3 linked regions of the Coturnix japonica genome follow. Each later gene encodes a partner of the first gene's protein in a complex. Links are inferred from orthologs where the notes say so. Each region holds a gene or a part of one and is shown on either strand. Other genes may lie near its edges.

Region 1 (9,946 bases):
TGCCTGAGAAACCTTGAGGGAGCAGGACTATATAGATCCTTCTTCTAGTGCTAGCACCAGACTGGACTAGTGGAGCCTGGAAGGCGTCAGTGAGCTTAATGCTCAAGATATGTGATCATGGGTTTCTCTGCATTTATCTGAGAGCCTTATTAACCCCGGTAAAGCAGCAGAAGTTGGCAAGAGACTTTAAGGAGTTTGTTGTTAATTTTGACTTGCCCTACGCTGTTCTAAACCAGTGTGTATGCAACTTAGTTATACTCTGCTACCCGGCTTTGCAGTGCTGGGGTTGATGCTGTAGGTTGCAGGCTATTTCTCAGCAGCTAAATGTGTTGTGTGCTCTGCATGATGTGTTATCATTTCTTTGCTCTGAATGCAGAGAACAGTTATTGGCAAGAGTGGAAGCGTGTTATCTTTCTAAGGCTGTGAGCTCACTAGTGATGAGATGAAGAAGTATTCCTTGGGCTCTTCCACTGCATGAGACCATGTTTATTAAGGCCAGATCAGGCTACTTACCTGTTATTACATTTTGGTAACTTAGCAGCAGCAAGCTCAGGTATTGCAGCAGCTCATCCCATTGTTGCCATGTAGCTACTTCACCCTATGACAATAAATGGTATTTGGTTTTAGGAGAGGTTTTCTCAGGAGAGGCCATGCAAGGGAGAAGGATGGCTGGATACCTGGTATTGCAGCAGCACAGAAGAGTGGCCTAGAAAATAGAGGATCTTGGACAGAGACAAGGGCAGGTTTGTGGGCACATCACAACTGTGCTGGAACATCAACTCGAGCAGTTTGCAGCGCAGCAAGTTGCTCTCCATGGTGTTTAAGAGGGCTTCCCTGCAAGACAAAGATTTACTCTGATGGAGACAGCACAGCCTGACAAGGAACAACTACTTCAGTGTGTTCCTTCATCAGCTGTGCTGATGTGGATTACTGCCTTTTAGTCCCACTTTGCAGTTCTGAGGTGAGAGAATCGGTTGTTCTCAGCATCATGCTGGCCTGGTAATACTGATGGGATCTCTCAGTCCTACAGCTGTGTTCGTGCTGGCTGGGTCAAAAGTGAGTCCATCTTTCTATGCTCCATACTACTTAATGCATCCAGAAACAGGGAGTAAGACTATTGTTCAGAAAGGAAATGCTGCTTTGCACATTTCTCACCTTTGGCTCCTTACGGCAATATTCAGTAAAAATGGGAATATTAGATCTGCGATCTTACAGGAGCTGCAGTTGGGAGATCTGTCCACTTCCACTGCAAAGGACAACATCCGCTGGAGGAGGAGCATTGCCCTAGGTAAGAAAAAGAGTTAAAACAAAAACCAAAACCCATTGGTTTGCAGAGAAGATGCACTGAAGATGGCATCTAGTTCAGCCTTCTGCCTTGGAGTGAGAGACATCAAGGAATGCATCAGGTTACATTTGTTTTGCTTCCTACAAAGCCCTGTGGTGTCTCTTAGAATATATTAAATCTGATGCTCTTGGAAGCAGAGCCAATTTCCACATGGACATTAGGGGAGCTCTCAGTGGTTGTACTGAGTGTTGGTAGAGCAGCATGGGGCAGCCTGCACTGTGGGTTGAGAGCTCTGGCCTCATTTAAGAGGAAGGCATTCAGTGAACCAGCTTCCTGCCAGGCAAGAAAGTCTCTTGCTCTTTTAACCTGGTCTTTACCTGCCCTTAGAGGAAAACGCTAAGAAAGTTGACCACAGGTACAACCTGGCTTCCTTGGTAAGATGGAGACAGCAAATGGACTTGCTTTTCTAACTTGGACCCCATATTATCATCAGCAGGGAGCCAGCATTTGTGGGACTTACTTCTGGGCAATGAATGTTGGTGGAGTCAGCTGTGCTTGGTCAGTGCTGGCTGGCTGTGCTGCAGATGAGCTACCTTTGGCTTCTGCTGACAAGCGTGTCATGTCTTGTGTCTGCTCCTGCAGCTGGAAGGAGCTGACTCCTGTCACTACTGCAACCAACCATTCAACCACCTCCCTGGGACAGAAACAGGAGTGTTAGATGGGCCTGGCTTTGCATGTTCTGACCTCTAACTCCACTTGGAGCTTGAAGAAGGACTACGAGGATGAAGGATATGTTATGATTGGACAGTCTTTTCTTTTTTTGTTTTAAAAAGAAAAGTCTGCTTGTGGCTGATAATGCCCTTGCATCATCTGTGGGGTTTTTTTTTATGGTCATAAACATGCTCCTTTTCTTTATAGCTGGCCCCTATGCTTTACTTTTCCAAGCTTGTTTCTTGAAAGGTCTGAGCTGGAGTCTCAACAAACATTCCATAAGCTCCTGCCTCTCTGCAGCTAATGTAAGTATGGGAGAGGAGAACGCATCCCTTACTTGACATTGTTGAAGCATGTGTCACAGGAAAGCACTTTCTTGGTTATTGACTTCTGCAGCAGGTGCAGTCTCAGGTTTTGCTGGAAGTCATCCTCCAAGGTCTGCACCACGTATTGCAGGAAGAGGAGTCGTCCAGGGAGCTTCTCCTGAGGGCACACAGAGATGGTGTGAGTCTGATGGAGCTGCAGGGTGAAGAGCAGTAGGAAATGTGGCTTTTTGGGAATGAGGTGATGTATGTGACTGAGGAATAGTGCAGCTGTTCTCTAGGAGGGGTTGCATGGTTTCAACGATGCCCCAAAGCCTTGGCTGGGGCTGTTCGACTTGGGCTTCTGGCATATTGCTCCAGTTCAAAATGATTTTGTCTGCTGCTGTGGTTTCTTCAGATTCATCAACCTGCCTGCAGTTGTGCAGCATGTTAAGGGGTACCATGGATAAAAACACTTGCTACCTTCAGCAGCTGCGATAGAACTGCACACTGGACTGAGCTGTTGTGCAGCAGAGCAAGGCCAGGTGATGCAATGGGGCAAGTACCAGGTACTGGGAGATCCCTGCCTAATGTGACGCATGTAGTGCTGAGTACCTGGCTCTCCATGGTGTGTTTCAGCAACGTCCAGTCCCATCCTACTGTGGTGGTGTTGGCTGGATGGAGCCTGCAAGGACAACACCATCTAATTTGTGCTGAACTGCCACACTGTCTGCCTTGATGTCAAGCATCCCACCCACCCAACCCCCCCCTTCTATAAGGTAACCCTTATACTGGGCACCTAACCAGCCCCAGGGCACGGTGGCAAAGGGAACACGTACATTTGGATCTTCATCAGCAGCGTGTAGGTGTTCTGGAGGATCTCCTCCTGGTGGGTGTGCAACAGGATGTGTCTGATCAGATGGGAGATGATTTCTTTAGGAGGGCAGTGCTGGCTGGAGATGAAGTCACTCAAGAAATGCAAGGTTCCCTCCAGGAAGTTCTCCTCCATGGTGGTGCGTACCATGCTCATCTTACTGCTGGGGATGAGCTCAGGTTTCCGCTGTGTGCAAGGTAAGGCAATGGGTGAAAGCCAGCCCCCCACGGTACAGAGGAACCTAGCAGTGATTTGAGGCCCACCATTAAGAGAATTGCAATAGCCAGAGATCCCAATGGCCTGGCAAAACTTCCCCTGGAAGTTTTTCCCCTGCTCTGAGTGGACCTGGCTGGGCAGTAGCTGCTCTGAACCCATTTACCTGTGGTGTTCCCCTGTCAGATGTTGCACCGTGAAAGAAGAGGTGCTGGACTCCGCTCCTTCTGAAATAGCGCAGTTTGTTCAGCCAGGCCATGCTGTCAGAATTAGTCCTGGCTGAGGTCCCATGTCGGATTGCTCCTTGTGAGACACCTGCTTCCAAAAAAGTCCTTTTGACCTTCCCTGGGCTCTTGGTGACGCTGGCTGGAGCAGGGCTCAGTCTTGGAGGGAGCTCCCTTCGTTGGAAATGAGGGGGACTCTCCTCTATGCTGCGTGTGCTGCCATTACTGTCCAGGATGGGGGGGGGTGGTGAGAACAGCACTTGATCTGGCTGTGTGTTGGTCAGGGAACTCAAGTCAGTGTTATACGTGGTGGTGCTGTAGCTCGGTTCTTGCTTGCAGGAGAAGCTGTGGTGGCTGAAGGCAGGAGAGAAGCTGCTCTTGTTGTCTGTTTTTCCTGCTGTGTCTGTACCAGGCCATGTGGGATAGCCGTGTAAGGGTGCTGCAGGGCTCAGCTCTGTGTTCGTCTCCGTATTTTTCTTTGTGCTGAAGCAAAGCTGGGGATGAGACGTGTGTGTGATGGGGGGAGCACACAGCTGGTCCTGGGCAGTACAATCTGCAGCCGGGGGAGGACTGCAGGTGTCCTCCTTTGTCAGGTCAATGATGGGGATGTAGTTCCATGGCAGTGGCTCTGAGTTTGAGTCCTCCTGGGTGAGATCAATGATCTCCTGTGGGGACAAAAGGGTCAGTCAGTCAGCAATGATAACAGCTGGGTGCCTCGCTCCTCCCCTGCTCAACTGGGGATCCCTTAGAGAAACCCGGAGCCCGGCCATGGGCCCTGCACCCCGCTAACAGCCCCCCCTTGTATCCAGCACTACCTTCACATCCATCGCATCGCAGCACGGCTCTGGAGCTACGACACCACGGAGCCTTTTGTCAAGACCTGCAAAAGAAAACCAATTTCAATCCATGTTTCCTGCCCGCGGCCCTTCCGTCTCCCCTCGTAGGGCGCCGTGCAGCCCCGATGCCCGCTCTGCCCGCCGCGTCCCCTCGTTACCGGGCACCAACTGCCGTGACGGAACAGCGGCCGACGGATGCCCGGCAACCCCCCGCCCTCCGTTCTGCTGGGGGTCGGGGCTTCATAGGGCCGGGCCGGCGGAAGCTGCGTCAGGGCGGCGGGGCGGGCGGCGCGTTGGGGCGGGATGGCGCTGTCTCCGTACGTGCAGGCCATGCAGGAGCTGTTCCGAGCCAACACGCGCAGCCGCGAGTTCCCGGCTCACGGAGCCAAGGTTCACTCCGTGGCGTGGAGCTGCTGCGGCCGCAGACTCGCGTCGGGATCGTTCGATAAGACAGCCAGCGTGTTCCTGCTGGAGAAGGACCGGCTGGTGAGCGGGGGGAGCGGGCCGGGAGCGGGTGGGACTGAGAGACGGAACGGGAGCGGGGTGCTGGGCAGGGCGGCCACCCTGCAATGCTTCCAACACATGGCTGTGTTGGAAAGACCCTTAAGAGCCCCCCCAGCCCTGCTATGGGTGGCTCACGCCCCCTCAATCGAGCTGCCCTGGGCCCTACGCGTGGCCTTTGGCACCTCCAGGGATGATGGGACTACGGCTCTCCTCCTTTTCCAGGTAAAAGAGAACAACTACCGAGGTCACGGTGACAGCGTGGATCAGCTCTGCTGGCATCCCAGCAACCCCGACCTCTTCGTCACCGCGTCCGGGGACAAAACCATCCGCATCTGGGACGTCCGCACCACTAAGTGCATTGCCACCGTCAACACCAAAGGTGGGGCCCCTGACATTGAGAGGTCTTTGCTGCTTTTGGTTTCCTATCACACTCTGTTAAAGGGTCACGGGAGCTTGTCTGGAATCTATGGGCAAGAGGCTGGTGGCTGGGGAACGTGTGTGTGCAGAGAGATGTGGCAGAAGTCTGAGTTTACATGGATTCATAAAGCAGCCATTCTTATTAATGGGTTGATTAGCCCAGCTACCGCCTCTGGCCTAAGAAATGTGAGTCTTCCAACTGTCAGGGTTGAGAATGGAGTTGTAAGGTGGCATATCTGCAGCACTGCTTGGTCCTTGTTCACACGCGTGTACTGTTGGATGTTCTGCATATCGGGGATCACTGGGTTAAGAGGGTCTTTTGATTTGATCTTGCTTTGTGGTTACTGTGTCTAAAGGGAAGGGATGGCAATGCAGTCATATTGGCTCAAAGCTACAGCTCTCAGTTTAATTTTCAGTGCAGAGTTTCAGTGTTAAATTGCAGACCTGGCAGTTCTTCCCATCTGGGAGTGATTCAGAGTTAGCAGAGCAGACTGTGGCCTCAAATCAGAAACAAAAGCCTCCTGCCACTGTGACTCTTGCAAACTGCTGGGTGGAAATGGGACCTGCTGCTTTTCTGTCCCTCTAGGGGAGAACATCAACATCTGTTGGAGCCCTGACGGGCAGACCATTGCGGTGGGGAACAAGGATGATGTTGTCACCTTCATCGACGCCAAGACGCATCGCTCCAAAGCAGAGGAACAGTTCAAGTTTGAGGTGAACGAGATCTCCTGGAACAACGATAACAACATGTTCTTCCTCACTAATGGGAATGGCTGCATCAACATCCTCAGGTGGGTGCCTGTGGCAGCTGCTGGGCAGGGTACCAGGGTTGGCTGCCCTCGTGCATCGCTGCTTGTGGAGGCAGTTTGCACCACTCTGCTGCTTTGGTGGAACCAGAGTCCCACATCCCAGTGATTCCCAGTCACTGTGATGGCAGCAAACTCACCCTGCAGTGTTTTGTTTCACACCTGGTCCCTGCATGTCTCACACCTGCCCTGCTTGCACAGCAGCCCTGTGCTTCTCTCACTGTTTCCTGCCCTCTCCCTTCATCTCTGCAGCTACCCAGAACTGAAACCCATTCAGTCCATCAATGCCCATCCTTCCAACTGCATCTGCATCAAGTTCGATCCCATGGGGAAGTACTTTGCCACAGGCAGTGCTGATGCTCTGGTCAGCCTCTGGGATGTGGATGAGCTGGTGTGTGTGAGGTGCTTCTCCAGGTAGGTAGTGCTGTGTCGGAGCTATTTGCTCCCCTCTCTGGTGACTCCATGGGGGTTCACTCACTGTCAGCTTTGCTCTAATGCTGCAGGCTTGACTGGCCTGTGCGAACACTGAGCTTTAGCCATGATGGGAAGATGCTGGCATCGGCGTCGGAGGATCACTTCATTGACATTGCAGAGGTGGAGACAGGTAATGGTTTGCTTTTGGGAAACAGAAACAAGGGAAGCTGATGGAGGTGTGCTGGTGTGGCTGGGAGGGCACGGGAAGAAACGGCTTGGCTGTGTGCAGTAGAGCACCGAGAGGGGGAGCCTCTGCCTCATCAGACCGCTGTCGATATGCGTGTCATGTCCATGCCTTGTCACCAGGCGATTAAAAGGCGCTGAAGCAGCGTTTGTTCCTCCTCTGCCCTGCGTGGGAGGGAAGAGGCAGGTGTTTAGCTGCGTTGTGTGCTGCGGGTCAGCCTGCAGTGGAGAGCAGGAGGCTCCAGGCTGATGTGGGCCCTTTTCTGTGCAGGAGAGAAGCTCTGGGAGGTGCAGTGTGAGTCCCCTACCTTCACTGTGGCCTGGCACCCGAAGAGGCCTCTGCTGGCCTTCGCCTGTGACGACAAAGATGGCAAATACGACAGCAGCCGAGAAGCAGGCACTGTTAAGCTCTTCGGGCTCCCCAATGACTCCTAATGGAACTGCAGCAGGGCAGGGAACCAGGGGCCACAACACTTCCCCACGCTCGGGGATGGAAGAGTGCTTAGTTAGCATAGGATGGGGTAAGGATGTGGGTCCTCTCCTTACCTGCTTGTCAGTGCCGTCCCCTTTGTCTCAGCTCCACGTGTGCTGCTCTCAGAAGCATTTGTAAAAAGCAGCTTGTGTGCTGGTGAGGATGGGGGGTGCCATCTCAGGGCTGCCTCATCCCTGGGCATGGAAGATCTGTTCCAAAGGCAAACAGCCAAAGAAAATCATGGAATGTGACTGCTGGAAGGGACCTCCCGAGGTGGGAGCGCTGCTCCAGGGCAGCAGTGTGGAAGCCCCAGCAGCAATGAGCAATGATTGTCCCTTCTGTCCTCCCCCATAGCCCGGTGGTGAGGGCAGCCATGGAGCACAGCCTGCCCCCTTCCCTATGCAGAGCATCACAGGGGCTGCATGGGAGGGTGTGGGATGTGAGCTGGGGTCGTTCCCCCCCCAGCTGTGGGATTTGTGTTTTTTGTATTTGTGGTTGTTTTTATAATTTTGATAAATCCTCTTCCATAACGAAGTGCCTGCAGCTGCTGTGGACACAGGAGGAGATGAGTGGGGAAAGGAACGTGGTGCTAAGTGACTGCTCCCATTACCCCCACGGTGTGGCCGCGGGTGGGCCCCACTGGCAGGGGTCTGTGTTAAGGACTCGTCCCCATCTCGTGTCACCCCACCAGAGGGCGCTGTGCCCCCACACTGGGGACAAGATGATGAGGGATGCTGCACATAGGATGGGAACAGCCACACACAACTGTCCCCATCCCGTAACCCAGCCCTGCCCTCTGCTCCAGCTAACAGCACCCACACCAATGGAGCAGTATTGTGGTGGCAGCAGAAGGCACCTGCCTGACCCACGGCTGCCGGCCTAAGGCTGAGCTGTCCCTGTGCCCCCCATCCCCTCTCCCCCAGCGGAGCAGAGCGGGTCCCTTCCCCGCCGTGCGCTGGGTCACGTTGCAGGCAGTCACTGGCGCAGCCTGCCTGTGATGGAGACCTTGCCTGCACGATCTCTATCATTTCCTAGCCTAATATTTCCTTCTGACAGAGGCTTTTCCAGGTGACTGCACTGCTGATGCCGCCTGGGTAACAGCTGAGCTTTTTGCTGTTAAATGATGGCAAATCAGTCGAAGCTGAGGCTGGCTGCAGGCAGAGCCCTCCCAAGCTGTGCTGCATCAGGATTGCAGTGTGCCAGGGGCCCTGCTTGCCTTGGCTTCTGCTCCTGCTCTTGGGGAAACTGGGATTGAGGTGCCTCCAGCCTCAGCCCCAAAAGGTTGTGCATAGAAAAAGAGCCCTTGTACCCTGTGGGTGACTCCAGTTAGTCATGGGGAAGGGGCCCTCCTACCGTAGCCATGGGTCTGCAGGATGGGCTGCAGAACCCTTTTGTCCCCATAGAGGGCACTGGGAAAGTGGAGGCAGCTGGGCTGAGGGCAGCACTGGGGGACTATGGAAAGCCTTTCCCTCCACCTGTGGGTTTCTGGATGCCATGCAGGCTGAGGATGAATCCCGTGCCCTCCAGTAACCTGCTGAGTGGCTGGGTCTCAGCTCTGGTGGGAGATGGAGGGATGGGGAAGGTGACAGGGAAGTAATGGCTGAGAAGAGGCCGGAGCAATGTACAAATCCCTTTATTTTATTAGTTTGTCAAAGACTAGTTCGAGCAGGATGGTCACAGCATGACTGCGAAGCCCCGAGCTGCCCTCTGCCAACCGGGAAGGGCTGGGCTGAGTGGCTGGGGGCTGTGGCGGAGGAAGCATGGGGGTAAGGAGGACAGGAGCACAGTACGGCAAGGGACGGGCCGGGGCGATGGCGTGCCCCTGCTGGGGCGCAAGCAGCAGCTCCTGGGACGTACCCGGGCAGCTTTACCTGGAGGAGCTGCGTGCCCAGCGCCGGGGGGGCAGCCCGGGACAGGCTCTGCGGCCCCCAGCCCCGTACTGGGCTTATTGCAACCCGCGGGCACGGCGCTGTCAGCTCAGTGCTGCGGGCAGCCCCGGGGACTGCGGGGCTTTGGGGTTCGAGGCGTGAGCAGCGGACACGAGGACGCATGGAGCAACGGGGCGCACCCTGGCACACAGACACTAATGCGAGAACGGGGCAACGGGGCCGAGACACGGACGAGCGAGCGGTGGGGACAGCGGGGACGGGGCAGGGGGACGAGGCAGGGAGGACCCTGCCCCGCACGCGCCTTTATACACGGTCAGCGGAGCGCGGCGCCTGCTCCTCCCGGTGCTGAAGTATTGCAGTCTAACTGATATGGCTTTAACTATGGGGCCAGAGATGCGGGAAGGGGGTCCCCTCCAACCCCCCGATGCTGCGGCACACCGGGCAGCCCCGGGGGACCCCCGTGCCCGGGGATCAGGGATGGGGGAGCTGCGGGCAGGGCGCCTGGCTTTGTGCTTTGGGCTTGGCCCAGGGCAGGATGGGGTCGGGGATGGCAGTGCTGGGGACGAGGGCAGGCACGAGGAGGCCTGCCCGGGACCCCTGGCAGGTGGGGGTGTGTGTGTATGGGGGGGTGTGGGCAGAAGGGCAGGGCTGAGGGCACGGGGAGCTGCCCCGGGGTCTGGTGGGGCCTGGGGTGCCCCCAGCCCGCTGCCAGGTTACATCAGTGCATTTGGTCCCGGTTCGCCCTGTCCGGCCAGG
Region 2 (9,946 bases), on another chromosome or scaffold:
TTCTAATGTTCTCTGAATGTACTGAAAAATAGCTTTAAATGAAGTAATAAGGGTAATAGTACTGCAAAGGTAAACAAAGCATAATAAAAGGAACGACATACCTGCAGGGCTACTTCACCTACACAGGCAATAAACACAACAATTGTCAGATAATTCACATAGTCAAGTACTTTATCTCTGACAGTAGCCTGACCACACAAAGTAGTGGCTATCATGAACTTTACAGTAGGTTTACACAGAGTAATCCATGCTTCTAATGATACATGCTTCAGCTTATTCCTTAGAAAGCAAGATTTAATATTTGTATTCTTGCAATCCATATAAATACTCTCTAATTTTCTTCTCCCATCCCGGTTATTATTCTAATTGGTTAAGAGATAAAGGAAGTATGCAACACATGTAATCTTGGTCATTATTTCTAACTTTTTTGCATATGTAATCTGTCAATCCCTCTTCAGGACCCTTCTGCATGCATTTGATAGTTTTCTATTCTCATCTGGTCCACTACAATCCTTTCTGAGATACAGAATAGCATAGAATAATAGGTACCACGTTGCAGACTAGCTTACAAATGAGGATGAAGCAAGCATCCAGTTTGGCCCTTCTCATTTTCCTGTAATGTCTCTTGTAATATATGATCCATGTGATGAGAACAACCTCTTTTTTTTACAGGTCAGGTGGATTGAGGCTGATATTAGCAGGCAAAGCTACATACAGGTCAGCAAGGGAACAAAGTTGTTTTTTTCTGAAGTGCTGAGAGCTATTGCAACTAGTCTGGGCAGGGAATCACAAAAGGGCTTCCAGTCATGATGGCTGGGAAAAAGCCCTGGTTTAATACAACCTGAGGGTGTTGTCTATTCCTGAGGTAGTACACTGGTATCTGGAGGGGAATGCCTTAAATATGGCTGGGTGTGGCATAGTAAACCTTCCTATTATGGAAACAGGCTGACAGCTTATAGGCTTGTGCAATGATTTCTCTAGTATCTGGCTTCCAGTTTCTGAAAGGCTTCTGTTTCACCAAACATTGTTTACGCATTGCTGTCAGCTATAAGCAAGCAGCAAGAAGACAAGCAATTTTCTAGTAACATCCAAGCTATACCTGATGTTTTACTTCTTTTACTTTCAGCTCTGGAAAATCTTTGCCTAATCTTCTCATTTTTCTGTCTCCTTTTCTAAGACTGGTGTCATTGCTTCGTGCTGTAACAGCTCTTCTGATAAGGCAGTTAATTACACTGGCACTGCCATTTAGAGGCTCAGCTCCAGTCACTTCCTGAATTGGCTACTATTCATTACTCATGACTAAGTCAATAACAACTTCTCCTCCTTTGTGCTGCAGGACTCGTTGTTCCAAGAAATAGTCCCTTAAAAGCATAAAAAAAAAGTCTTTTTCTGAACTTTGTCCTATTGTGCTGTATGACTCGCTAAAGCTATAAATGTAACTCTTGCAATTCGCCATGACGTTTCTCTTGACAAGAAGTTTTCTCTAGAGTTTTTAGTGATTAGGAGTTGTTAGTGAGTCTCCCTGCATCCTGACTTACTTAAGGGGTGGTTTCTCCTGATTCACAGTATGTGATTTTCTATATTTTTCTCTCAAACTAGAGATAGAAACTATGTAAAGTGTTTTAATTACAAGGCTTCCTTTTTTTAGTGTTCACGTAGAGAAGTCAGTTAAAGCTGGAATACCTATAAAAATGTTTTCAATGTCTGATTTCTCTATGTCTGATTTGTAAAATCAGTAAAATAAGAGACTCTGCCATAGTTCAAGTCCATGTCTTGGACTACAGATATAAAGGACTTAAGGACACAAGGGGGTATGTTGTAGACACTCCTACAGTGCATGAGCAAAGGGGTATTTCTAACAATATACTCCTCTAAGGAGATAAGAAATTCAGTTTAAGAAAAGCCAAACTGCTAAATTCATTAGCTGAGCTTATTGCCATTTACAGCTCTGCTCAAGATACTGACATTTGGATGTGTTGTGCAAAATTAAAGCAACCTCCCCTCCCAAATCTTAACAATCTGGCACCTTAAAAAAAACAACAAAAAAACCCCTATCCATTAGTTGTTTCCATTCTTAATCAACTGACATATCTGAGAAGCTTCACTTTCAATAATCCTTTTTTATGAACCCTTGATAAGTGGCATGTGTTGATTAGTGAAGTAAGAAATAGCTACAAGAGAATGAACTGTGATAACCAAGACTGAGGTAATGAAATCCAAGTAAAATAAATGAGAAAGAATGAAATAGTGTCAGAAGTTTATAGCTAGACAAATTGCTAATATTAGGGTAAATAACATGATCAAAAATCTTTCTTCTGCTATAAAACAGCATGGGACGTGAAATAATAGCTTCCCTCTACAATTTCATTGAAAGCTGACAGCAGGATAGGAACAAGCTACATTTAAATGAGAAAGTAATCCGATGTCATGCCTTTAATCAGGTAAAGAAGAACAAACTTGTAGATGCTATGAATCCTGGAATGTTTCTGTGGCTTAATAGTATTCAAAAGATGATCTCCTCGTGATTGCTCAAAATGACTCAAAAGCACAGGTAGTGATCCAAACCCAGCTGTGACATGTAATACAGGAGGTTATATGCAGGACGAGTTGGACAACAGGTAGGTCTTACCTACGTGTCAGGGCAAGTTATATTGTGGTACACAAGGTAGTAATTTATAACCAGGCATGCAGGAACAACTACTAGAAGGAAAACACGGAACAACTCCACAAGCTTTCTCTTGCTTTCTCTAATTCTTATTCTATCTTACTTGCCTGTGTGATACACATTCTGCATGATTACTTGCTGCTGCACTTGACAGCACTGCCGCGCTATCTCTCTTTCCTGATCAACTTGTCACTGATAAACTGTCGTGCATTTACATCTGAGTTCATCCATTCACCTTAACAATGGAAAAACTTCAAATACAAAATTATTAGTAATGCTTCTGAACCCATACAGATAGAGATCAAAGGAAGAAAGCTGATAAGGGCACAATTCTAAAATGAAACACAAGTTTTTCTTGCATCAAAAGAAACTATGAAACAGGGAGGAAAAGGTCAAATAGTGAAACCAAGAAAATGTCAAATCTGCTGACTTTTAATTTGCTGGTTTATCATAATCTAATGCAGTCTTATACTTACTTCAGTGTTTCGTGTCTGTCTGGATGGTGCTGTATGACTTTGGCCAATGCATCGTATTCTGAAAGAAATTTAAGTATTACTAGTATAAGTTCTGAAGGTAGCGATATAAGAATACAAAATCTCCCATCAGCTCTTTCTACTTCTTAAAAAAGTGTTTTAATGTTTTCCAATCTCTACATAATATCTTGCATATAACAAAGGAACAGTCAAGCAAAAATGTATAATAATATAATAGAACATATCCAAGTAGATGACTAGTGTTGCTTTTATATATAATCTAATATATATATATAATGTATATATAGAAAAATCTGTGGATAGGATACTACACAGACATTTCAGATTTTTAGAGAAAAATAAAATGCTGCAAGAGAAACAGCTTTCTTCCACTTTGTTTTGTACACAAAGAACAACATGATGGTTATATAGACAGTTAAGGTGGACAGTTCTTGAAGGTACTATTCTATGTACACTAACCACCACATTCAGATGGAAAACGTGGGCAGAACATCTTCAAAAGCAAACACTTCAGATCCGTGCTTGTGAAGATTTAAGTACTCTACTTTCCTACTGCTTAAGGCTTTTTTCAGTCTCTAATAATAGAGTCTAACATTATCCACAAATCATATGTGCATGTGTTTTTAAAGGTTTTAAAACCTTTCACCTGTTACAGCTGGTCTTTCTTTCTTTCTTTTCAACTATTTTTACATTTCACTTTTTAGGAAGCAAAATTTTACCTTCCCAATTGCTAAATTTTGATAAGACTTACAGGGCAATGTTTTAAATTTCAACTAAAAATATCAGTATGTCTTTTAAGGATAAGGAACAGATGTCTGTAATACCTGGTTTAGAGGTATTTTGCAAGGCCATGTAAAATGAGTATGCAACTGGTACAACTGTTCTTGTATTAGGTACTACTTTTCCTTCTAAAGAGCTGAAGGAATATACTTATATAACTTTCAGTGTTGGTTGTAAGCTTATTTAACTCTTTTGTCTTGCTGCTACTAATGTGCTTTAGTTCTTAAGCCAACTGAATTGTCAAAGGATGCTTGGGAGGGTTTCTTTGGCTTGAGAACACCTCTGAGCTACTCTCTAAGTTCTCCTCATGTTACATCACTAAGATTTACTGCCTTAACCTCAACAACCAAACTTTCAGCAGTCTGTGTGGAACCTACCAGATAATGCTCTATGTAGCATCGATGGAGAGCATTTTCTTCTGAGTTTTCAAGAAATATGTCATCTGTTTTCCAGTACAATGTATTTTAAAAGATAACACATTAATAAAACCACCCAGTGTAGATAATGCTGCTTACCCTGGCGATTCTTTCTAATTCTTTTTGCTTGCAGGATTTGTTTCTTGCATTCAGAAATCTTCTCGTGTGCTGCAGCTATACTATTTTCTTTAACAGAAAGACACAAATCAAACAACAAACGCCATCAATCCATTCAGCTAAATCATCACAAACAGCACTTTGTATTTTATACTGCCTGCTATCTCCACGGGCTTCAAAACCATCTATGCCTTGACAGACTAAAAACATATTTTACTTATACACATTTTACACACTGACAAAACACGAGGGCAAGTATGAGTGGTATTAAAATAGTTTTTCTGTCACCCATCTCATGTTTACATTTTGTTTATCAGAACTGACTTGAGTTTCTTTATGAAAGAGAAATTCAAATAAGCATAGAATATTTTTTTTCTCATTTTTTACCTATATCCTTGTAGATCTTTTCATAATTTTCCATCTCTCTCAGGTTCATGTCATACACCAGAAGAGTTTTTCCCATTGAAAATTCACACTGCGATAAAGTACTCAGCATTCGTTGGTACTGACTGTAACTGAAAGCAAACAAGACATTTATTCCTCAGCAGCATGAAAATACCTGCCTGTTTTTATATCACGAGGAAAATGAAGCCTCAGGTAATGTACGGAACAGTTAAAACAGCAATTACTAAAGCAATAAAGGACTTCAAAGATTCAGTGCACAACTGCAAAAAGTACAGTTAAAAATGAATGCTGCACCGATTAATTTTATCATCATAAAGGTATAAAGCAGCATTACAGCATGGGCAGATTGCTCCAGGGATGATACTCTTCCCAACTAGAGCCAGCTCTGTGCCCACCACGATTAATATTTTAACACTCCAGTGCTTCTCTGTGCACAGCATCATCACAGAGTGCCCTCCTGCACTCCAGCATCGGCACAGACCCTACTGCAGAACAACATGTTGCTTAACCTTTAGTTCTTTGGCCTGTTTGTTTTCTTCTTTCTTTTCAGGGCAGTACAGCAGAAGCAGCACAGCCCCCACCTAACAGAACAAATGCAGAGCCACCAAATGGAACACTCAAGTCGTGATCCTGCTGTAATAATGGGACTGCTGAATCGTGAAGCAACGTGCCAACCTCCAGAGCCTTCGCTGTTAGATTTCAGGATGGTTTGCTCTGTAATTTTTGACCCATCTCCAGTGCATGTTTCTTGCCACAGCTCCTGGGCTTTGTCCAGAGAACCACACAGGGCTGAACATAGCAGAGATCATAGAATGGCTATGAATAGGACTGTAATGATCATCTAGTTTCAACCCCCTCCTGTGTGCAAGGTTGCCAACCACCGGAGCCCAGAGCCACATCCAGCCCAAATGGATGCATTTTAACACAGTTTACTTTCTTTGTCTAAACAGATGCTCAGTTTTATGCTCAACTGCAAAGCAATGAGGTTTCAAGACTTAAAAACAGCCAACAAATACCCTTCCTCCTGAGATCCAGAGTTACACCACTTGATGAAACTCTTCACCAGCAGATTGATCCGCCTGTCGTCCCCAGCTCCGTCTCCATCAATGAGAAGCCGTTTGCGGATAACTTCATCTGTGGGAAAAAAAACAACTCGTGTTTAGCGCTCCGTGCTGGAAGCGTGTGGCACGGCAGGAGCTCACCCAGCAGAATGTGGGTGAAATAAAACGCGTTCAATACGCGGGGCCTGGGATCGGCAGGGAGGCTGGGCCCGAGAGGCCCGATGGAGCCCCAGGCCCCGGCACTGAGCGCAGCGGAGCGGCCTGGAAGCGCTCCATGCGGGGTGAGGCCGCCGCGCAGGGGTGCGTGGCTTCCCCGGGGTGAGAAACCCGGAGCGGGGACAGCGAGAGGGAGGGCAGGAGGGAGGAGGTCTCACCGTCGGTCACGGCCCCCATGGCGGCGAGCGGCGGAGCCGGCGGGGCGGCGGCAGCAGCGAGTGAGGTCAGCTTCCCACAATGCAGCCGGAGAGAGCGGCGGCCATGGAGGGGGAGGCGGCGGCGGCGGCTGGGGCCTGAGCCGGCTGGCGGCGAACGCGCGGCCCATCGGCGGGGAGGGCCGGCCGGGAGGCCCGCACCCCGCGCGGAACCGGCCCCCTGGCGAGGGGCGGCCCCGCCAGGTGAGAGGCCGACGGGGGAGGGAAGCGGAGGTCCCCGCGCCCGCAGCCAGGCTCCACCTCCCAACCACCGCGCCCACGACCCCGCCGCCCCCCTCCTGGGCCGCCCCGCCATGCCCTCGGCACATGGCCCTCGCCCTTCGACGCCTGGCATCGAGGCGTGGGGCCGGCGCTGTGGGCTGAGGGGAGATGGGCTGAGCGCCTCGGGTCACGCTTGGGATGAGTCCCTGGTGTGTGGCTTGACACAAGAGGCTGAGCATTGGGGCAAGGGAAGGATGTGGAATGTTGTTCCTGAGGTGTTTCCTGGGGTGCTGTGCTGTGGGTGGTAACCAGAGCGGGTTGTTCCTATATGGAAAAGTGAACCGGTGCTGGGGTGTGCCGGGAGAAAAGAGGTATTAAGCTGTTGGATGAGATCAAGTGTTGGGTTTTCGCCTTTTGGACCAAAATGTTGACACCTGTGCCATGCTAAAGTTGATAATGTTACTTTAAGATACATTGGTACAATAATGATATGTGAGATGCATGTCCAGGCCCTGACATCTTGGCATTACCTTCTCCTCTTGGTTGGACACTAAGTACATGCAGACTCATTCTGCTTGTTGCTGTGTATTAAGAGAAAATGGGTGTAAGGAAGAAAGAACCGTGTCAGCATGTAGTGTCATCTCCATCTTCCTGGTTTTAGAGCCCTGAGTGACGACGGGTTCTTTTGTTCTGGATAGAGATGTATAACAGGGGTTTACATATTACTAGATTGTTGCAAGCCAGCACTTTGACTTGTGAAGTGGCACCTGGTAGGTTCTTTGCGAGGCACTATTGGGAAGGGCTACAGAGAGTGGTCATTAAAGCTCCATCTGGATTGAAGGTATTTCCAGTGTAGAAAAACTGGGTAAATATGCTGCTTTCTTGATATTTTTATGTATCTCTGCGTGATTTGTGAGTGATATAATTTGATGTGAAAAGTGGCGCTTTCCTACCCTACTTAGATCTCCTATCTTCAGCATCTTGGAGCATCCTGGTCTTATCAACACTTAATACTATTCATGCCATTCTCTTAGCTCTTTCCTTTTCTACTGTGATGAGAAGTTGATCAGAACTGTTGGGTGTTGAGGGTGCGAACTGTCAGTTATTTGTTTAATAATGCAAGAATACGTCTGTGTCATTTTCTGCCATTTAATCTAATATTTTCCCACTTATTGTTTATCATTCCAGTGTTGGTCAGATAGCCTTATTCAGCTCTCCACAGTGACAAATTCCTGGAGTAATTAATTTAGAACACAACAGTCCGTATAATTAGTTAATAATTTTTAATGACTTTTACGCCTTTCTTGTCTTCATTGGTGTCACTGATTACAGCATTCTCATAAATGCTCTGTCCTGGGTCTTATGGTAAGAATTTAGCTGTTATTTTTTCATTCTAAGACAGAGCTTTCAGGTATCATCAGTGTTCATCAACTTTCCTGTTTCAAAATGGGAACTGGAACTTGCTAAACACATCATGAAGAATCTCACTAAGGCTACATATTGATGTTAAATCCTGCTGTCTTTGCTCTTCTGTCTTGCCACGAGGTGTTTTGCCTAAGAAGCCAGTTCCAGCTTGCTGGATTTCTATACTCATTGAGTTTTCATTATGTCTTTGGAGTCTTCTTTCAGTTCGCTCCACTTCCAAGCAGAGTTCCTCATCTTGTAAGTATAAAACAACCTTTGTAATACATGTATGGGGTGCATGTTGCGCTAGGCTGTAGCCAAGGATGTTTTCTGCATTAATTCAGTGTTTGATGTAGGTCTCTGGAACGGGCTTGACTCGCTCTTATTTATCCTTCACCAGCTCTTGCATTCTGTGCAGATTCCATCAGCTACAGTCTTTTATATAAATCCTTCAATTAACAGGCAGAAATACTGCATAGCATTGAACCTTCCTTAAGAAATCAGTATTGCAGATCCATGTGGTAGGAAAAAATGTCTTGCGCAAGGCAAAGCATATTCCTCCATGCCAGGTAATTTGGAATAAGTACCTGTGCAAGCTTTCAACCAAGCTAAACATGATGTAGATTTTCCTCTTTCCTTGGATTCCTTTACGTGTGCCACATGTTAATAATAATTTGTTACACACCTGTCCTTGTCTAACCAGTGAAATGATCCTCTGTAATGTTTCCAGGTGTCCCTGGATACAGTGTAAGCTGGGTACATTTAGCATTGGGTTGTTACACATGTGGAAGTGGCTCAGATTTTCATCATTATCCTCTTTTTGTTCCTAAAAATGGCTTTGAAGTACACTTTATTATTTTCTTAATTGAAGAAATCTGTCAGTGTTGAGGTTTTCTCTCTTGAAAAGAAGCTCTGAAATAATTTCACAGACTTTAAGTTGACTTTATACATCCTCCCCTTTAACTATGTGTATATATATATATATATATATATATATATATATATACATACTTTCCAACTGCAGAAAGAATTAAAGGTGAAGAAGCTTTTCATAGTATTCAAGGGTATAATGAGCTATGATTTTTAGAGCTAAGAAAACGTCTTTAACTATTGATGAGGTGGATTTAAAATATTTTTCCTAAGCCGCCCTAATAATTCATGAGGTGGTTTTAGATTCCAGGTTTTCTTCGTGTTGAATAACTTCTAAATCAGACTGTTGTGTGGCATTAAATCTTACAGAGATCTAAGTATAGTAGGTCAGAAACTACAGGGTATTTTTATCCAGTCCAACCTATATTCTTGTCAGAAAGTCACACCAAATTTATTTAGTGAGACCTATTTTCTGTAAGCCTAAGTTTAGCATTACCGCCCTTTAGTTCTTTGTTGATTGTATTCTGTGATTTTCTGCAAGGCTGATATTGAGCTGACCTGCTGCTGTCACCCTGTTTTCTCTTGTAAATTACTGTTACGTTTTGTCTGCATTCTTCTTTGGCTTCTTTACCCTCAGTATTTACTGCAAATCAGCAGCAGTGTTTCAAGTGATTGCCATCTTATTCTGTACGAACTGCAGATGTTAAAATATTCACTCTTGGCAGATAGGACCGATTTTTATTTTTTTATTTTTTCAAAAAATAGCTTTTTATTCATTTATTTTTGTCTAAACAGTGTGATTCGTAGCCTTGTAAAAAGCTTTCCTAACACGGATCCATGTGTTTGCACAGAGCTAGCACGTTTTCATAGTGTTATATTATAACAAGAGAAGGGAGAGCAAGAATGCTCATTGGGACTGTAGGTTCCTGCTTGGTGAGAGCATCAAGGTGTTCTAACATGCATCTTGTAGAACTCAGTATCATGAAACTGCAGCAGGATGTATTAGGTAGTTTGATTTTTCTCTTGGTGTAAAAATCATTAACCCCAGAAGTTCCAGCTGCGTGTGTGCTGCATAGGAGGTTCTATGCTATCTCTGTGATAC
Region 3 (9,846 bases), on another chromosome or scaffold:
TTAGGGCCCTAATACACCTTAAGGCCCGATTTATGGACCCTTTATGGACCATTCCCAGAACATGAGGCGATTCCAGCCCTGATTCCTCCCATAATAACCTATGGAGTGGCACCACCATGCACTGGGCCTGGGCCCGGCCTATTGGGCCTGTTGGGCCTATGGGGCCTATGGAGCCTATTGGGCCTATGGGGCCTATTGGGCCTATTGGGCCTGTGGGGCCTATTGGGTCTATGGGGCCTATTGGGCCTATGGGGCCTATTGGGCCTATGGGGCCTATTGGGCCTGTTGGGCCTATGGGGCCTATTGGGCCTGTTGGGCCCGGCCTGGTCCTCGCTCCATCAATGAGGCCTCAGAACCAAAAACCGACCCTAAATCCCCCATTCTCCCGGCCTTAATCACACCCTCCCGGTCCTTCAGCCCCGCTCAATCCCGGTTCCGACCCCGGTTCCGGTCCCGGTTCCGATCCCGGCCCGTTTTACCCTCCAGCTCCGTTGATGCCGTTGTCAAAACCCGGCCCGCTCGTCTCCAGGAAGTCACCTCACTCCCGACCCGCTGCTCCCATTGGCTGCTCAGTGGAGTTTCTCCTCTACTATTGGTCATTTTGCCTGTCATTCAACATCGCCTCACCCCCCGCCCTCCGGTGGACCAATAGCAAACATGAGGAGCCGGTGGGAGCTAACCAATCGCAAGGAGCGATGTTGAAATCACCCGTTCAGAAAGCTCAGTTGTGATTGGACGCTGGGCAGCCGGCGGGGGCGGAGCCGGCAGCGAGCTGTGGGGGCGACAAGATGGCGGCGGAGACTGTGGAGCTCCACAAGTTGAAGGTAGAGGCCGCTCCGTTCATAACGGCAGCTTTGCGGTTTGGCCATCGCTTTGTACACACGGAGGGGTTTGTTATACTTGAGTTGTGGTGTGGGCTTGCTCAGGTCCCGGTGATGCTGCCGGTAACGGGGCTATGGGGGAGGTTGGGCCTTGGAGGCGCTCCGGTATCGCCTTCTATATAGGGCCGCCTTCTGTCTATAGGGCCGCGCTCTGTGAGGCCTCGGGGCCCGTTACGAGGCCTCAGGCCCGGCCTGAAATCAATAGATAACAGGGGGTGAATCTGGGCCTGGCTGCATTAAAACGGGAGTGAGGAGGAAGGAAGGAGGGAGACATTAAAGCTCCTTCTAAAGGCTGTTAAAATACGATGCTTTGATGCTGTGTTATATGTGATATGAGTGAATCCCTCCTACTAACCGGCTCCTCTCCATCCCCATCAGTTGGCTGAGCTGAAGCAGGAATGTCTCGCCCGCGGGCTGGAGGCGAAGGGCAACAAACAGGATCTGATCAACAGGCTGCAGGCCTACCTGGAGGAGCACGGTGGGTACCGGGTACCTGCGGGTCACAGCGCTCATAACCAACCCCCTGGGGGCAGATTCAATGCTGTCAATGGCGAAGAGATCCCTCAGGCAACGGCTGTTGTGTGGGGTGTTGAATGGAGCTGAGCATCCCCTGTTTCATCATCAGAAATTCATCGTTTCTTTATCTGAGAAGCCGAAGGCGTCGCTCAGTCATTTGTATCAGCGACTGACCCGCTGTTTTTCTTCTTTAGCTGAAGAAGAAGCCAACGAAGAGGATGTTCTGGGGGAAGAAATAGAGGTAAAGCTGAGGGATGGGATGTTGTGTTGGCGGTGTGCGGCCTCTGGGTGGCTGTGTTGGGCATTGATGGGCCAGAGCAGTGCAATGAGCAGCAGCAGTGCAGGAGATCTGTTGGGCTTGGGGCTGTGCTGGGCTTGGGGCTGTGCTGAGTTTGAGGCTCTGCTGTGCTTGGGGCTGTGCTGGGCTTGGGGCTGTGCTGAGCACTGTTGGATCTGAATCGGCCAGTTTTGGTGCTGGGGGCTCAGTGCTGCTGTGTTTGCATGGAGAATGAATGAGTGCACGGTGGTTTCTGTATGAGCTCGTGGTCACGATACGTGGCTGGTGTTTTAGGAGGGGGAATTCTGCCTCTTTTCAGCAGGAAACGTGCTGTTGTTGTGTGTTTGTTAACAGCAAATCTATTGGGGTTTGTTGTGCTTCTGGTAAGGAATCCCTAACAACAAACTGGTGCCCTGATAGTGGGCAGAGCTGCAGGAGGGGACTGAGCCTCAGAATTGGACCTTTATGTTCTGGGACGTACAGATATCCCAGCTTAAAACACGAGCAGAAAGCAGCTCTGCTGCTCAGCACACATCTCTGCAGGGACATATGTGGTGCATGGGAGCTCTCCCCAGTTGTCTATGAAGTTCTTGGTGGGAGAATTGAAGTGGACCTCATTGGATGAGTGTCTGACACTGAGCGTGAGCACTGTGTGCTTCTGATGCTCTTTACTTGCAGGCCTGAGAATGTCTCAGTTGGGATAATTTCCTAAGCCTGTGAATCCCAAACTGTTGGGTAAGGCTTTGGGGGGTAAAAAAGAGAAGAACAAGCAATTCCTGTCCATAAGGTTGCTCATACCCTGCATTATTGAGCAGAGTCAGACCCCATTGGGGAGGAGGAGATTTCAAGCACACAAGTAGGAGACAGCAGCATGGGGAGACGCAGCTGCTTGGGTTCCCTGGTGATGTGTGGTCTCACCAGCTGCTCTAGCATGAAATTCAGATACTTATGGGTATGTTCAGGCTGTACTACAGGCATGTTGCCTCTGAGGACCCAGAAGAGCCATTGCTGCCCTTATTGTGATGTTTTGCTCTTGCTGAGTTGCTCTCTGACCTCCTCCCAACTCGTTGCTTTGCAGGAAGAAGAGCAGAAACCAGCAGAGCCACCCGCCAAAGTAGAAGAGCCTCCTGTAAAAACGCCTGATGTGTAACTATCCCTTTCTACTTAATCCAAAGCAAAACTTGTGGGGGATGCTGTAACACAAGAGATGCATGGCAGGGGAGAGCTCTGCCTGCCCCTAATGCTTGCAGGCTCTTTTTAAGGCTCTGTGAGCCCATCCTGTGGCTGGAGGGGCTGCAGTAAGGGGAGCTGGAGTTCTGTGGCCTGATGGCTTTGCTGGGGGGGAGCTGTGTGGGAGCCCTCAGAGCGGGGAGAGCGCCTGGCCCCAGCCAAATTGCTTCCTGTGAAAGTGTCATTAAACCATTACTACCTTTCAGGGCATAAAATGAGAAACCTGTCCAGGAATCTGGAACAAAAGCAGCGCGTTTTTCTAAATGGGAGACCTTAATGAGGCTGGCTGTGACCTACTGTTTTATGGGAGTTTTTTAGAGGAGGATGATGCTATTTCATTTAGCCTGGGAACTTCCGAACTTTGTCTCTTCCTCCTTTGTTTTTTCCCCCCCCTCCCCTCGAGCCCAAGCTCTGTTTTCTGAGCATAAACTTTAGAGCACGCCCACTCCATTATATTTTTGTTCGCTCTTTTTACTGGTCCTGCTGTTGTCAGCTGCACATTGTTCAGGAAGTGTGTGTTTGAAATGGAGCCTGAGCCCAGGACGTTGGTGCTGACCTGGGGAGAGCTGCCTGGGGCTGTCCCATGAACTAGAACAGAATGATCCTTTGTATTTCGGGGCCATAAAGGAATAAAGCTCCTCAGGGCACGCAGTTGAGACTTTGGGCTTCTAACAGGAGCTGAATGTTGCCCTTAAGAGCTTTAAGATGTAGATCTGGGTGTGCGGATCTACAGCCTCTTGCTGTAATACCCACCCCACGTGCTCCTGCAGCACCCCATTGAAAATGCAGGATGTTTCTCATGCCTTAAATAGAGTTCATCCTTTCTCCCAGCCTATGTGAGTGGGTGTGAGTGCTGAGGGTGGTTCTTGTGTGTGCTTTGGGGGCTTCCAACTTGTTTCCCATCATTGCTTAAGGAACTCAGGGCTGCTGAAGGCACTCACTGAGCTAGGAGGAGAACTGGTGGCTGTGTCTTCACCAGCTCATTTGTTTCCTTACACAGCTCAGACCTCAGACTCCAGCATCACTGTCAGGGCTCTCAGCCTGCTCTTGTAACAGGGATGCTGACTGTTCCTCTTGAGAACAGAGCTTGACTTGAGGTGATGCTGGGTTTAGGAGGAGAGCCCTGATCTCTCTCTCATTGAGATGTGCTAATGGGAATTCTGACTGATGTTTCTCTTTCCCAACACTTGTAGGAGCACTGAAAAGAAAGTAGTGAAAATAACATCAGAAATCTCACAGATGGAGGTAAGGTTCCTTCTGCTGCTTCACCCTCATCCCCAAGGTATCACTTGGCTTGTTTGCTTCATTCAGAGTCTCTTTTTTTTTTTTACATTGCTGAGGCTTTGTCAGTGTTTGCACACATTGCAAACCATTATTTTGGCTTGGTTAATTAATTGGTTATTAATGACCAGGCTGCGGCTGCGGGCTGACCTAGCAGCAGCATGCTGACCCCACAGCACGTTCCGTTTTGCTGTGATCTTATGGAATGCTTCTCTCTGCAGTCTGGAGGTGCATCCTTCCTTGCTGCCATTTCTGACCCTACGTCGATATTTCCAACTTAGAGACAAGCTGAGCTGCTCCTGGTGCATCCTTCCATTGCAAAGATGGCTTAGTCTGATAGATATACACTGTCCCATTATAACTCCACTGTCTAAATTGTGCTGCCCTTCCTGCTGCAACATTCCCTGCAGTGATCCCCATCTGTGTCCCTCAGGGCTTGCTGTAAGCCTGCTTGCTTCAAACACCAAACTACAAAGCTTTGCTGAGGATATCCTTCAGGGAGCAATGAGTTTGGGAGACACTAACAGATCATCTCATCTTTATCTTCTGTAGCTTTGTCACTTGTATTTGCTGGGCTTATTTAAAACAAACACGCTTAGAAGCCTCTGATTCCTCTGGGAAAGCTTTGTGAAACTCAAAGTTTCAGGGATCTCACTCTGGTTCTCTAATCACCCCCCCCCCCCATTTTAGTTTTCCACTCGTGCTCCGTAAGAAAGCAGTCAGTATGAAAACATGATTCTTGTCTTCCTGCTGTTCGCTGCTGCTTTCGAGCTCTAATCTCCTGTTTGGGACAGGAGCATTTCCACAGCAACCACAGGGGGATGTCGCAAGCAGAGGATTATGACCTCAGCTGAAGGAGTAATGAAGAGCAACGTGGTACCTGGTGGAGGATTGATGTCCCCCTGTGATTCAGGGCTGCCCTTGGCCATAGCAGCTTAAAGAGCTCATTAACAGACCTGCTGACGTTACACACTCATCCTTTGTTGGGTTTTATTCCCCCCCCCTTCAAATTCCATAGAGCCAAATGAAAGGAAAACCACTGTTTTGGTATTTTATGGGGCTGTGTATGAACTGAATGGCTTCCAGCATCATTCAGATCTGTTAGAAGAGAGCATCGAGTTATTTATTCCATACGGTGCATCGTTGATTGTTGGAGGTGGGCTGCTCAAGTTGTAGGAAATATTGACCACTTCATAAAGCAAGGAGGCAGGTGACTGGCAGAGAAGCCCAACGAATCTTTGCCAATTGCCAAGCCTACTCTTGTTGAGACTATTATATGCTATACATGTTTAATACTTCTGAACATCAGGACCCATAGGACTGACAGGAGGAGGGCTACCTTCAGTCATTGCGCCTGGTTATATGGCTAAATAAATATTAGCTGGCTTTGCTTTACCTGTTTTCAGCAATAGCAGAATATTGAAAGGCTTCATTCACTGATGGAAGGTCAGAGGGGTCATTTCTTTGTGGGATGATCTGAGCTGTGCTGCCACTGCCTTCTATTGGGCTGTTGATCCAGCATGGCTTTTGTGTGGCCGCCCACTCTATTGGATATTTCTTTTGGATACCCTTCAAAGAGCGAGGATAAGGAAGTGTGCTTTGACCTGAGCGGTGCCACGTCTTTCTGTCTTCCAAGTGACTTCTCAGCTTCGGCGCTGACACCATTAGGAGTGACATTCCTAACCCATCTTCTCCAAACATTTATGTTTTGATGCAGATGTTTATTGCGCTCCTCGCTGAGCTTTTGGCCAAAGGAAATGTTTCCCTGAATATCGTATCTTGTTTCTCTAATCTCTAAAACACCAAACGCATTTCTGGGCCCTTGTGTAATAACAGAATGTGAGATATTTCCTTTCAGCTTTTAAAGGGGATTCGAATGGTTTTTTGGTGCACTTCTGATGTCCCCAAGCCTCTCTGTGTCTCGGGCACACGCACATGGAAGCGTTCGCCCATCCCTTATTAAGTCCATGTGCCTCTTTCCATTTCCTCTCTATAGACTTCCAGTCCTCACTCTCCTTCTCTGGATTCTTTTTCTCCCACCTCCAGAGAATGCAGAAGAGAGCTGAGCGCTTCAACGTGCCCGTGAGCCTGGAGAGCAAGAAGGCAGCGCGTGCAGCTCGGTGAGTCCCCCATCCTCACCTGGCACAGGCAGCAGCTGCATTGCTGCAATGAGGCTGTTTTCCCTTTGAAACAAGTGAGGAATTGCTGTTGGCACATATAGGAATTACTGTGGTAGCTCCATTAGCCAGTAATACCCACATCCCAGCTCCTCTCAAGCAGTCGGACTGAGGTACACTTAAGCATTTGGAGGAAGAGTCTGTGCTGTGCTTACTGAAGGCTTGATGTATTAGATACCCACCTCATGTTTGCTTGGGTCTCTCACTGAGCTCTGTTTGCTTTCTGCAGGTTTGGTTTGGCCACAGTTTCGACAAAAGGTGAGAAGGTGAAGCTGAACCAATTCATGGAGTGACCTTACTGCAAATATTTATTTATTCCTGGGAAAGAAAAAGTTGCTGGTGAGGCTGTCTTTGTTTTACCATCTGTCCACGCCCAGGGTTTCTGAGCAGGAGTTGTAGAGCTGGGATGAAAAGCATGTGAAAAGTCTTATGGGTGGGAAAAGCTGACTTGGGGATGACATTTGGAGGCTCATCCTTGAGTGAATGGTGTGGAAAGAGGGAGAAATGGGACAGCAGGTCTTCACTGGTCAGACTGGTGTGCGCTTCCAGCAGTGCTGTGACTTCATTGCTCCTCTTCTCAGATCAATTGCTGCTCCAGATATTTGCTCTCTAACTGAGTTTTCTGTTTTCTTCTCATCTCAGGCCTCTCTGCAGACAGCAAACCTACGGTAAGAGATGCTTCTTGTTCCTAAATTGGTTGTTCTGAGCAGTCTGGGTTCTGCTTTCAGGCCCAGCTTCCCAGCAGCACCAGCTGAGTTTTGGGGGAGCACAGCACTGGGGTTGTATTCTGGGGGCTGCAGCACAACCTTCTCCCCACAATGTGAGCGACAGTGATTTACAAACCAGTTTCCTGTGTCTTTGTAGGTAAACATGGATAAATTAAAGGAAAGGGCTCAGAGATTTGGCTTGAATGTCTCTTCGCTCTCCAAGAAGGTAAGGTGCATTGGCCTCCAGGATACTTCTTGCACCTCCATTGGAGCCCAGGGCTCGTAGCACACAGCGGCCGTTCAAAGCCTCCTCACTGCTGGAGGTTTTACGTCGTGTTATTAATGCAGCAGTGTGGGTTCCAGGGCCCCGGGGGGACTCTTGTCAACATCATTTCCTTCATCTTTCCCTCTGTTTGTTTTGTGTGAGGCTTAATATGGTTTGGTGAAAGTTGTGACGGTTGAATAGAGGTGTCGAATTTGAAGGTTATAGGGCTGGTTTGGACGTGGGAAGGGAGGCTGTGTAGCAGGTTGTGTAATTGGTTTGGTTTTGGGTGTTTTAAGTGCACATTTCTGATTGGGGGTAGAAACCAGGTCTGCAGAGAGCAAGCTAAGGAGCTCTCCGAAGAGAAAGAGGCTGGAGCTCCCTGGTAACTCTTTGAAGTACAAATGAGGTGGATTTTGGAGGGGGATAAAATTGGTTTTGAGGCTTTGGAGATATTCCCACAAGCTTCTGAGCACGGGTTGCCTCCAGTCCTTGTGTGTAGGAGCTGATTTCATTGATACCTTTGTGTGTTGGGCAGGGGGATGCAGGGCACGCTGGGGTCACACGTGGCTGTGGTCGTTCCCTGATGAGCCAGGAGAAAGTGAATGCAGCATGTTTAGGTCAAATAGGAGGGTGGGTGAATACAGTGAGATGAGAATGGTGGCATCCTGTGTGCTTCCTGAATGGAAAACGGCCCCGTTCCTCTTCTGGCCTTTAACAACCCTTGTGCTGCAGCACTGCTCAGAAATAGTGGGGGATGCAAACGAATTGTCCAGCCATAACAGCTGGCTGATGTTGGCATGGAGATTTCTCCTCTCAATCTGGAAAAGGGTAAGAGCTCGGGGAGGTTGATCTTCCTGCATCCCTGCAAAATGAGCCCCTCTCCTCCTCGGGGGGATGGATTTGACCTTTTTTGCTGCCTGTTTCTCTATGTATGAGCGTTCTGCTTTATTCCACCGGCCCTGGGAATTCACTGATGTAGAAAATATCTGGCATTGGAGGTCGCTGTTTCCCGCCCCCCCCCCCCCTCCCTCCTCTGTCCCTTTGGGGGTGGGGGAAGGAGGGCAGTGCATTAAAGCCGGGATACATGGAGCTCAGGGTGAGAGGCTGCTCAAACATCATTAACCCTGTCACCAGGAGCTCCCATTTTTCAGGAGGAATATATGCCCTGTCAGTGTTTTATGGCCGTGGCCTTCTCTGGTCAGGACTGTGTGTCCACAGCTCAGCAACTGGGAGCAAAAAACCCCAAAGCCCAGGGTGCAAACTGGGGGGCTCTATGGGTGCTGCTGAGCTCCTCCTGCATAGGTGGAGCCTCAGCATCGGGGCAATGCCATGCCCAGGGCCATGAGCCTGCTCACCAGCTCTCCCTGCAGCTTCCCCACTCAGCCTTTGTACCCACCTCTCTGTGCAGTGTCCTTTTATTCCTATGTATTTTGTTTGGGGGGGTGGTTTTGCTCCACCAGGAAGTCGAGTTCACGGGCTTAGAAGTGGCTTCTCCCACTGAGCGGAACACACTCGCATTCCTGGGAGGAAGATTATTGGTTACTTTAATTAGCTGGTAGCATTGTGCTTCCCACCTGGGTGTTCTTTATAGCTTTTCATTACGGGGGAGCCTGGTGGTTGCAAATGTTTACATGTGTCTTGGCAGGTTTTTATACCATACGTTGCAGCAAGGAGAGAGGGGGGGGGCAAAGAAAAAACAACCAACCCAACTTTACAATAAAGCATTGTCTCCACGGAGCCACACTTCATTTCCCATTCAAATTGGTTTGGGGAGGGGTAGGGATGTGAGGGGGAGAATCGTAACTAAGGGGGGATTTCAGCCCCGCTGTGAGCAGGGAGCAAATGCGGAGCTGTGTTAGTGGCTGTGAACTCATCTGTAGCTTTGAACCCCTTCCCCCCCCCCCCTTCCCCCTCTGTTAGCCCTCTGGGGTAGAAATCTTTCAAGTTGAAAATCCTCTTCCTCTCTGCCCAAAGGGGGAAGCTGAGAGCGCAGCGCTGGAGCAGGGCAGGGAAGCTGGGGCTGCACGGGAGCAAGAGAGAGGCAGGTGCTCATTTGTCTCAAGGCAGCACGGGGCCATCAAATTAATTTATAAAATAAATCAAGCAAGCGTTTATCTCCCCGTAGCACCGACTCTCCCCTTCGAGGCCTCCTGTTAAAGCACACGGCTCTTCTGACCCACAGCTCCCATCCCTTGACTCCTGTTAGCTGTACTTAACCCCCCACACTTGTAAATGTTCCCTCTCTGCGGCAGCTGCTCCCTGTGCCGCTCCGGCTCCGCTCCCCAGGGGAGTGATGTGGAGCTTCGTGTTTTATATGCAGGGTTGGATGCTGCAGAGGGGGTTGCCCGCGCTGAGGCCGCGGTTCAGAAGCATCTCTCGGAGGGGATGCTTTGCTCTTTATGTATAAAATAGTCTCATAAGTCTCCCGCTGAGAAAGCGCTGGCACCAAATGGATAGCGAGAGCCCCTGGGATAGCATAAAAGCTCTGTTTGCCACCTTTGTGTGACATTAT

What was found.
Region 2: THOC3 (region 1) and THOC7 share a complex: the UniProt entries of both Homo sapiens proteins name them as parts of the transcription/export (TREX) complex. The link is inferred for Coturnix japonica from reciprocal best matches to the Homo sapiens genes THOC3 and THOC7.
Region 3: THOC3 (region 1) and SARNP share a complex: the UniProt entries of both Homo sapiens proteins name them as parts of the transcription/export (TREX) complex. The link is inferred for Coturnix japonica from reciprocal best matches to the Homo sapiens genes THOC3 and SARNP.

The regions. Positions count from the first base shown.
Region 1 is NC_029528.1:12,221,243-12,231,188, forward strand, and holds THOC3 (THO complex subunit 3), read left to right. Parts: upstream 1-4,643; 5' UTR 4,644-4,748; coding exon 4,749-4,931; intron 4,932-5,171; coding exon 5,172-5,328; intron 5,329-5,952; coding exon 5,953-6,157; intron 6,158-6,424; coding exon 6,425-6,586; intron 6,587-6,675; coding exon 6,676-6,776; intron 6,777-7,100; coding exon 7,101-7,264; 3' UTR 7,265-7,835; downstream 7,836-9,946. Other genes in the region: SIMC1 (SUMO-interacting motif-containing protein 1), read right to left, coding at 514-598, 678-834, 1,156-1,284, 1,806-1,979, 2,334-2,479, 2,914-2,983, 3,138-3,358, 3,552-4,274 and 1 more. UniProt on the Homo sapiens protein: Component of the THO subcomplex of the TREX complex which is thought to couple mRNA transcription, processing and nuclear export, and which specifically associates with spliced mRNA and not with unspliced pre-mRNA.
Region 2 is NC_029527.1:10,987,018-10,996,963, forward strand, and holds the start of THOC7 (THO complex subunit 7 homolog), read right to left. Parts: upstream 6,423-9,946; 5' UTR 6,332-6,422; coding exon 6,313-6,331; intron 6,012-6,312; coding exon 5,894-6,011; intron 4,988-5,893; coding exon 4,860-4,987; intron 4,542-4,859; coding exon 4,455-4,541; intron 3,200-4,454; coding exon 3,142-3,199; intron 1-3,141. UniProt on the Homo sapiens protein: Component of the THO subcomplex of the TREX complex which is thought to couple mRNA transcription, processing and nuclear export, and which specifically associates with spliced mRNA and not with unspliced pre-mRNA.
Region 3 is NC_029544.1:1,003,198-1,013,043, forward strand, and holds the start of SARNP (SAP domain-containing ribonucleoprotein), read left to right. Parts: upstream 1-694; 5' UTR 695-788; coding exon 789-824; intron 825-1,259; coding exon 1,260-1,359; intron 1,360-1,591; coding exon 1,592-1,638; intron 1,639-2,752; coding exon 2,753-2,820; intron 2,821-4,097; coding exon 4,098-4,149; intron 4,150-6,231; coding exon 6,232-6,305; intron 6,306-6,591; coding exon 6,592-6,620; intron 6,621-7,004; coding exon 7,005-7,030; intron 7,031-7,226; coding exon 7,227-7,295; intron 7,296-9,308; coding exon 9,309-9,491; 3' UTR 9,492-9,846. UniProt on the Homo sapiens protein: Binds both single-stranded and double-stranded DNA with higher affinity for the single-stranded form. Specifically binds to scaffold/matrix attachment region DNA. Also binds single-stranded RNA. Enhances RNA unwinding activity of DDX39A.